Linked DNA regions of Arabidopsis thaliana. The protein of the gene in region 1 interacts with the protein of each later gene in a pairwise test. Each region holds a gene or a part of one and is shown on either strand. Other genes may lie near its edges.

Region 1 (5,065 bases):
GAGAGAGTTATTGTCATTGGAGAGGCTGGATACTTGAGGGGATTGGATCTCGTTGGAGATTTTGGAGACCAAGAATGTAGGACTGATCTGTGCTCTTATGTTCCAAGTTTAGTACAAATCAAGCAACCTGAAGGAGGGGAATCGAAACAACAAAGCGATTTAGAAAAGTGTCGATATGATGAAAACATGTTGAGGCTTGTCTCACTCTAAGCGACAAATCAATGAGCTTTGATAGGAGGAAGGAAAAAGGAGCCAACGAGATGATATTACTCTATTATTACGCAGAAACAGAGCTTTTATTTCAAGTCTTGAGTTAATGAAACTGAAGATTAAGATCATGTTCATGGTTCATTCTTATCTTTCTTCATCGATAATGAGCTAGTCGCTCAATCTTTTTCTTCTGGAACTTAGCTTAGTGTACCTTAAAATGCAATATTAGAGTCTCATGAAGTCAATTGGGAACGTATACGAATCGAAAGAGAGAACTTCTGTAATCAACCACTCGTACTCTCAATCTTGTTTCGTAAGAAAATGTGAAAAGAATATAAAGAAGTGAACAAATTTATTCCTGTTTCTTACAAGCTTAGAGCAATCATAATACATAACGATTGTAAAACAGTACAGAGAAAAGTTCTTGTCATATTTTTACATACTTAATCTGAAGTTTTCTTGTTTTTTTTTTGTTTAAGGTTGAGAAGAAATCAACAGAGACACAAGCAAAGAAGCAACGATTGTAAACATTAAAATTCCAATATGATTCACTCCGTTACTCATCACTACTTGGTTTTCTGTATGTACAACAGAGATAATAATCATAGCTATGGACTATGGTTCAAGCTTCATCTGAAGCGTTGGCTCAGAACCTGCAACATAAAGATACGAGACTTTAACAACATAAGAGATAGTTCTATAATTTCGATAGACGAATTTGCTTCTAATTTTTCTTACAGTTGTTGTTGTTGTTGTTGCTCTGTTGCTGGAGGATATCTCCAAAACCCATCTGAACAATGCTTTGCAGGTCATTATTTTCCCAGAATCCTGGTGTCTATAATGAATCAAAAACATAAAAGGATCGAGTTTACGATACGCACAAACGAGTTTTTCTAGAATCTGACGTTAGCTACTACTAAAACTACCTCAGTGTGAACAAATCCATCGTTTGAGGGGAATTGTGTGTCTGAGAATCTTGGCATGTTCTTGCCAAGTGAATAGTATGCTGATGGAAGTCTTTGCTCTGAGCAAGCCATTGCGTAAAGAGACTGCGTTAACGACTCCCCCGGTTGAATCATCTACACATACAAATACACACATTATAGATACAAAACATTCCATAATCTGACCATTCCATTATAGATACAAAGCAGAATCTTACCTCTGTGGATAAAGAAGCATTAGCATTAAACTCCATCCTTGGATTTACGGTAGCCAGCTTCATGGACAAGAACTAAAGAAACAAACCACGAGTTTTAGATTCAAGATATACAAACTCCAACTTTCAAGAACATTTATGAAATACACAATTCATACCTCAACTTGTCTCTGCAAGGACTGCACATAATTTATAATTTCATCAAGCATGACTGCTTTCCCTGTAATCCGGTTGCAACCAGGAACCAGATCCTGAAGCAACGTCATTCTCTCACTAATCTTTTCTCTTCTTGCCTGAAACCAAAACACAGCCAAAAAAAACATCAACATCATAAACATCAAAACAGCCCCTAATCAACAAAAAAACAGATCAGTTTTAGAAGGTGTGTAGTACTCTTTCAGCAAGACTATGGCTATCAGTTGCTTGACCCCTTCTAGCTCTGACATGAATATAATCTTTAGGCGCCTCAGGAGGCTTAGCATCGTCCTTATTGTCGCCTTTACTATCGCACTTCTCTACTCCGTTTTTACTACTCCCAGCTACATCTTGCTTGCTTCTCTTCCCACCTTTAGATCCACCATTCTCTCCTGAAACCTAATCATATATCCAAAACCAAACACAACTAAAAAACCTTGTACACACACTAAAAGGTCTATAGATAAAAAGTCTCCACAAAACACAAACTTTCTTACACATATGGCTACAGTTTCCTAAAGTATACATTTTTGAAATAGAGCAAGAGAGATAATGAATCAAAACCTTTGAATTGGAAGCTGTAAGAGACGATGAAGCTGGAGACTCCTTGCCATTACCACTAGGAATCGACTTCCTCTTTCTAGAGTTAGATTTCGTGGTGTGAACTCGATCCGAAACTGAATCTGGATCCAACAAAGAGCTCTTGTTACTCTCCTGCGTTGTTGGTTGTGACCCAAATTCACGATCGGATCCAAATTGACCTGGATATGGAGGGAATCTGATTCCACCAGAGATTGGGAAATTCTCGGAGATCTGAGAATTCAGAGAGAAGGATTGTAGAGTTAACGGTGAAATCTCCTGAGGGTTGTTGCAGTATCTTCCAAGGAAATCTCCAATTGTTCCTTCATTGCCATTGCCAAAGGGATCGCTCTGACCCAAAGGTAAGTAATTTAGGGTTTGCTCTGTTTCCTTGTCCATGTTCATCTAAAAAGACTAGAACTTTTATGAACAAAAAAGTGAAAAATTCAATTCCAACAACTTCTCTGGGAATTCTGAAGAAAACCCAGAATCTGAATCAGAAAGCAAGATTGAAATTGAGTGAAAACAACCAAATTTGAGAAGTAAAAAGACAAACTTTATGTGTGTTTCTTCAAAAACAAAACAAGTGATGATTTTTTAACTTCAATGTAAGCAAAAAAAGAGCTTCTTTCAATTATGGGTTTAGTGGAGAAGAAGATCTAATGAGGGAAATGAGTCAGGAAGAGAGAACTAGAAATGAAGAAGCATGATTGATCAATTAGGGGAAAGAGGAAAGAGAAGAAGAAGGCGGTGACTTTTTTTACTGATCAAAGGAAGAAGAAGAAGAAGGTTTAAGAGAAAATGACAAAATAAAAAAGAGAAAGTAATGATAAGAAAGATTAAGAAATTAAAAAAGAGTGAATTTTACAGTTCAAAAGGAGAAGAATCTTACGTGTGTTTTATGTTAATGTGGGAACATTAGATGGTGAAAGTGGGTAGGCTGCTTAGGCTGGCCTCTGTAATCATTGGAGTGAGAATAAGAGAGAAGAAAGAGAGAGAGAGAGAGAGCATGTGCATGGCAGAGACAGGAAAGTTGTGGGAGAGAAAACAAACAAAAGGATAAAATTGTTTTTAATTATCATGTTTGATTATTCTTGGTTAAGAGACTATTTTAAAAGATGATGGTACTTACCAAAACATGGTGTCAAAAAAGTCAATTATTGACTTGAGAAGGTTTTAGACTTGAATTTGATGTATTATGAGTTGTTTATGTTAATGAAGTTTATAATGTGTAACTAAAAACATTGAGTATACACATATATTTTCATAGGTTTGTGTTATGTGTGACATATAATGATGATACAAATGAATTTGCATTTTTGCCTTTTAAGAATATTTCTGAAGTAGTCTCTGCTCCACTTGAAGTTACATTGGCAAGAGTTTGAGATGCATAGAGCTGAATATAGTGGCTGAGTATCAAAAGTCTTTTTTCGGGTTCTTAGGGGACGCGTTCTAGTACATGCTGAAGCGCTTTCTTGATTCCTCCTTGTTCCAGAGACGTTGTCAAGTGTATCTCTTGCACCTGTAATGTTAATATTTTACTTAAAATCAAACCAAGAATCTCTCTATCTATGGCCATATAAATGGGTAGCTTCTGAGATTTACCTGTCTTCCAGCACGGGCAAGAAGAACAAACTTCCCATCAGAAGGCGGTGTCTGCGTGTGAACATGCGCATAGAATCAGAATTTTCACAGAGCAGAGTTTATTCTTACGGGAAAGTAAAGAGAAACAGAACTCACATTTGAGAGCCAAAGTTGTAGGTCTTGTGAAACCACTCTTTTCTCAAATCCTTGCCGGTTGATTTTCACAGCTTCTATTCTGCAATATAGAAATGAATATTAGTTACACACTGGAACCAAAATGTTATGCCTGAAACATAGATTCTATAAGTAATGCAATTAACAATATCCAACTCATCATGGGTTCAGAAAAAGTATCAGCCAGCAATAGCTATTGACATGTATATATTCAATCGCAAATCGAGGAGTGAACAAATCTAGTAGAGTAGAGGTGATCCTAGTCACTTATAATAAGCAGATATTATGCAAAGAGCTGACTAGGACTGCATAGTAAATTTAAATTATAAAATGATATTGTCTATATACCCATCTTCCTTTAAAAGCTCTTCAAGTATTGTTTCTAGCCCTGGAAGAGGTTCAATTGTATCCCCATTGTTCGAGCTTAGCGAAGGAGATCCAGTAGAACTGTCCTGTAACAATATTCAATTATCTATTAAAAATCACTAAGACCCACAAGAGACAGAAAACACATTCATTCACATTGTTTTACCTTCAAAATCACTTTGTCTAATGTTTCTAGAAGAGGATCATCTTCTAGTTGTTTGATGGATAGTGTAATCCTTGATTTCTCTCTGCATTGGAACAACTTTTGATTAAAAACTATATCATGAGTCATGGCTAATAAATTTCAGTAACCAAAATAAGCAACTCACTTGTCAATATTCGTGACTATAACCCGAACCTCGTCACCATCGCGTAGTACATCCCTAACATCTTGAACGTAATCCCATGATACTTCGGAGACATGCACTAGTCCAGTTAAATGATAAAGACCTATACACCACCACCCCACATAACTGACATCAATGTCATAAGCTCAAAACAAGAAAAAGAAACCAAGAAATTTAGGTAAAAGCAAATATACCATCATCAAAACGCAAGTGGATAAAGGCACCATAGTCCTCAACAGAACCTACTCTTCCGTTAAACACATCCCCAACATTAACGTTTTGTGAATACTTTGGCCATAATGCTAACTTCTCAGATAAAATCAACTTTCTATTTTCCTCATCAGCTTGAACAACCTAATATAAAGATTTACCTCAAATTATAAACAATATAGAGATCACAAAACAAGCCAAAGGAGAAAACTTTACCTTTACAGGAAGTTTAGAACCAACC
Region 2 (5,110 bases), on another chromosome or scaffold:
TGCTATAAGCTATTCACATATTAACATCGCGTAAAAAATACTACATGAATTAAGAATAAGGGTTCTGTGTTGTCGAAAATAAATATGAATTCCTCTCTATAAACCATTACAACACAAAAAACGCAAAAAAAAAAAAATAAATAATAACAACAAGTACTTGGAATCGTTATTAAAAAAAATATATATACATTTGGAAAAGACATCAGGTGATTTGTAGGTGAAATTCTCCATCGGAATTCAATTTTATAAGCTTTTCACGTCATGGAATAATTAGCAGCCTTATTTGAGACTCGTGGAAGTCAAATAACAATGACGTTAATTGATGTTTTAATAATCTCTCCTTGCGCATCAAATAAACTTTAGTTGCTAGTGCTGCTATTTCTTAGTTAGATTTTTATAAATTTTCTCCTTCCTATTTATTTTTATAAATATAAATATATATATTTCTGAATTTTTCATCCAATATTTTAATTTTGTCTTCTTACACAGAATCAACAGCTCTATTTTCAAGTCAATAGTACAACTCAATCCGAAGGGACACGAAAAGCAATATTTGTTTTGTCTATTTTTTGGTTAAACACGAAAAATAAAATTATGAATAAATAACACAAAAAGCTAATTAAAGATCGAGAATTAAATTATCTTTTTTCCTCACTGGTTTGTAAATTTGTAATAAATAATTAGCAAACTATACACAAAATCCTCCTAATCATCATCAAATCTTTGCTTTTTACCCCGAAACAGGCGTTTATCTTTTGACTTTTGACTTCGACCAAACCAGTCAACAGAGGGAAGAGGAAGAGGAAATTGTCATCCGTGACCGGCTGCTAAGAACTGCCCCCTCTTGAACGGCATTAGAGTCATTATCTACTGCATCAGTCACACGTTCACACCGAGGACACATGGTTAAAGCCGAGGTCGATGATGGCTTTAGCGCTCGTAGTTCTTCAACTTCTATTTGTAGCCGTCGATTTTGTTCCTTCAACGATCCGAACCATCTTTTTAGATACTCACATTCCATTTCCGTGTGCTTTAGCTTACTCCTATATATACATCAGATTTTGTGTAACCATGATTGATGGTTAATGTGGCCATGCATAATTTTAGTTTCATTCGCCGAAGCATCAGTCTCAAGATATACTTACACCATACGTAAGTTATAGGTTTTATCCTATACCAACCAATGCAACCATATATATCCATAGGTTGGTGTTTGATATATATCCAATTTTATTAATATATTAACGAGTTTGGTGTTTGATAAATTTCTACTTTTAGAAGACTATTCTACTGACCTTTGCATATAACTATAAGTTTATAAACCTGTGTGTAATATGTGTTCACATGTTATACTATATAAGTGATTGCTTAATTGACCCGGAATGCCCATACGTAAGAAGAAGATCATCTTGACATATATGATATATCATATTGTTCTAGACGTCTACAGTTCTACTTCTTGTACTAATACAGTAACTTTTGTTTCAAATGTCCATTATTCTGATATTTTTTCACACATGCAGGTTCCGTATTTTTTTAATTATACTAAAATGGCCCCATTAAGGCATTAATTAAAAACTGAAAATAACACTACTACGATACTTTTACGAACTGAAAAATAGATATTGAAAATTATAGAGGCTCTTCACACTTCATTAATCAAAATTATAACGTTGTAGAGTTATGTATAGAACGCAATTAGATCCATTCTTTATGGACTTAATGAACTAACTCTATCTACCATGCATATACATGTATCTTAGTATTTATACATTAACAAATGTATGTATATATTTACACACATTCGTGTAGATGTATGTGAATATATAGACAATATAGAGAAAACATTCACAAAAAGTGTATGAGTGTGTTTAAGTTTCATTAAAGTTATATGTATACTCTATGGGACAAACATCATAATTATGGACTGGCCAAAGATGAGCTGAAAAAATAAACAGATCATTTATTGTCTCTAACTTTGTCCCTCATGTTCCCTATCGCTTTTTTCTTGTTGATACATTTATTACATTCTATATTTTGATTTTTGAATCATTGGACATTTATATATAGACACGTAGGCACATAAATTAAGAGTACGGGATTTCATGTGTCGCATAAAATGGGTGATAACTGATAGCTATATATGTGGGAATCAACGTGAAACACTTGGATAAAAAAGGATCACTTCCACTTTACTACATTTTCCTAAACTATAATTGTATATATGGTGAATTATGTTGAGAATCTAAGTTACGACACAATCTCTTTAGATATAATATTCTGTCAACGCACTCTCATATATTAAAATATTCTCAACCACTTAAAAAGTAAAAAGTATATTTTCAAAAACCCTATATATATATATATATATATATATACATAACATGCCGTATATATATAAACATACGATATATAATTCTTATTTTCTTCGATTTATACGAATTTAATTTTATGTATGAATGATGTAATATATGAAGAGGTAGATATATACGTACCGAGCTCTTCGATTTTGAAACCACACCTCAACTTGCCTTTGACTAAGCTTCAAAAAGGTGGCCAAATCTTTTTTTTGCTTCTGTGGTTTCATAATCAGCCACCCAAAACATCATCAGCCGACATGATCATCAGAAAAGATTAACTCTTTTCTCTTTCTTATTTCTCTATTCAACGTAAGCAAAACATAGACGGAGCCATTAATATATACTTACAGGGGTTAAGGTATGGTTTTGTATGAAACTCTCTTCAAGAAGATGTGATTGTTCTTTCGTTAGACGGAGCTTTTTGCGCCGCCGGCCACCCGAGTTGCTATCATCTTCGTTGACATGTGGTGTTGCACCGATCATCCACTCACGATCTTCTTCCGTCTTTGGTGTTTGGTTTATGTCAAAATCTCTCATCCCGTGATGATCACCTACCAAATTATTTTAATTGGAAGACATAGTATTAAAACTATATAATATATAAGATTTAATAAATCTTTAATTTGGATATGATCTTACCAAGTGAAGGAGATGGAGAGAAGCTCGGAATTGAGATTGTTAAATCTAAAGAGCTTGAATTAGGTGAGAGGGCCATGGAGGAGGATAAAAAGAAACAGAATCAAGAGAATTTGATGAAGAAGATAGTGTTTTTTTTGGAAGATAAAAGGTAAAGTTGAAGTTTTATATGATAATAGAAATGTAAGTGTGTGTTCTGTGTGTATATACACATGTGAAAGAACAAAAGAAAAAAGCGAGACAAAGGAGAAAGATTTTGTGATAAGCGTGGAATGTGGAATATGGAATAAGGAATTAAGCATAAGAGAAATATCGAAATATGTAAAATATTTAAAAGTATGAAACACGACAAAAGATTATTAAAAAAAAAATCTTTCAAGCAGGTCAAATACGAAGGAACAAAATTTAAGGGAGAAATATAATGGCCAGTGGTAAGTTGATGGAATAAAAAAAAACGAATAGATTTTAATTAAAGAGGTGTGTGTATATGTGTGATTGGTGGATTTGGAAAGAAAATAAGGGGTTTGACTAGTGTCGTTTAAGTCAAATCAGATTCGTATAATCAAACAATAATGTTTTGCCAATTTGTATTTTGGGGTTTAGTAATGGCCGTGTGTGGGACAATAACGGGTAGTCAAAGCATTGTTATGCGTTGAGCGTTACAAATGCAATAATCTTAGACAAATGACAATGGTCTATACTTAAATGGATCTATTAAAACCGTGTAGATTTAAAAATAAAGCAATAGCTATCTTTAATAACTGAAACTTAAATCATTTACCATCTAAACTATAAATAAGAAATATATAAATCTAATAGTTTCGAATCTATAGATTATATAAAAAATAAAATAATTAACAAAATTCTTTAATAGATATCTATCAATATTAGTAACATTATATACATATGTTTATTATTATTACTGTATATATATTAGATTAAGCTTGATGTTTTTGAACTTAAAAAAAAAGGAGATTAAGCTTGACGTTTTTTAATTGGGATAATATATAGTTTTAAATGATATTATACACATATCCTCCACGGATTGTGTAATAATGAACTCGTTATCATTGGTTAGGATGGGCATGCATGACCCAAATTACCCAAATGTCATATATTTACGGGTCATTTCCTCCAATATATCCATGCCTTACGGCTTTTGTATCCTAAGTGGAGTGCTTCTGGGCCCTCATTACCTGCTTTTGTTTTATCTAGCCGACCTTGGTCCGGTTAACTATATGTTGTCTTTTCTCCGGTTCTGATGAATAAGTTTGTTCTTACGAATTGAACCAAATTCCTCACAAGTTTGTATACGCGCGCACAACTTTGTTGATTCTGATAACACAATTTCGACATGATGTGAAGCCGTGAAGGTTATTATCCGATTATGCTTAGATATTTAGGTTAGTATGCAGATTAACACAAACAATTTCATGAGTTCCTTTCCAAACCGGAGAGTACATCTCGTTTAGGAACATTCTCCCATTAACATATTAAAAAATCAAGTGATAGGTTTCAATACAGAATATCATAATGCGTAATCGTTTCTTCATGACGATGCTCGTCACTCGTCGTCATCCATAATTTCAACACCACAGAGAGGGCAATTATTACTTGTACTTAACCACTTATCGATACAATCACCATGAAACACATGCGCACAATTTGGCATGTCGAATAAGTGCTGTTCCTCCAACAAGCAAAGACCGCATGTTTCCATGTCTGGTTCCTCGAATATTTGTGGGGTTAATGTGACGTCATAGGAGATGTACAACGGCCCTGGAACTCGCTTGGCTTCGAAAGCGATCTTGAAGGAGAGAATACTGCATAAGTTGGGATCTTGGAGCCTTGGATAGAGAAGATTATACATGCTTTGTTCATCAAAGCTCACGATGTTTTTCAAAAAGAGGTGAGGGGTCGGGAACGCAGGAGAATCGCTTGATCCTAAAGTAACCTTGTTTCGACGCGATTCTCTGATCTCCACCGTGTTTGATGTAGATTTGCGCGTAACACTTGCTTCAATACACACGAGCTCTTCAATCTCACTCATTCTATGGAATTACTGAAGAGATTTAATGAAAAAGAAGAATGGCAGTGTGTCGATATATATAGAT

Evidence for each region.
Region 2: the proteins of AT3G23690 (region 1) and HB18 interact in a two-hybrid assay, tested with the Arabidopsis thaliana proteins (one large-scale study listed by BioGRID).

What each region holds. Positions count from the first base shown.
Region 1 is NC_003074.8:8,528,108-8,533,172, forward strand, and holds AT3G23690 (basic helix-loop-helix (bHLH) DNA-binding superfamily protein), read right to left. Parts: upstream 3,252-5,065; 5' UTR 2,549-3,251; coding exon 2,129-2,548; intron 1,964-2,128; coding exon 1,763-1,963; intron 1,663-1,762; coding exon 1,528-1,662; intron 1,445-1,527; coding exon 1,373-1,444; intron 1,290-1,372; coding exon 1,137-1,289; intron 1,046-1,136; coding exon 949-1,045; intron 864-948; coding exon 826-863; 3' UTR 502-825; downstream 1-501. Other genes in the region: AT3G23685 (F-box associated ubiquitination effector family protein), read left to right, coding at 1-210; AT3G23700 (Nucleic acid-binding proteins superfamily), read right to left, coding at 3,582-3,665, 3,749-3,799, 3,884-3,962, 4,250-4,353, 4,434-4,515, 4,597-4,717, 4,809-4,968, 5,041-5,065.
Region 2 is NC_003070.9:26,734,091-26,739,200, reverse strand, and holds HB18 (homeobox-leucine zipper protein 18), read right to left. Parts: upstream 3,308-5,110; 5' UTR 3,076-3,307; coding exon 3,000-3,075; exon of another isoform or gene 2,912-2,999; coding exon 2,709-2,911; intron 2,576-2,708; coding exon 2,496-2,575; intron 1,044-2,495; coding exon 782-1,043; 3' UTR 536-781; downstream 1-535. Other genes in the region: DEP (RING/U-box superfamily protein), read right to left, coding at 4,561-5,046.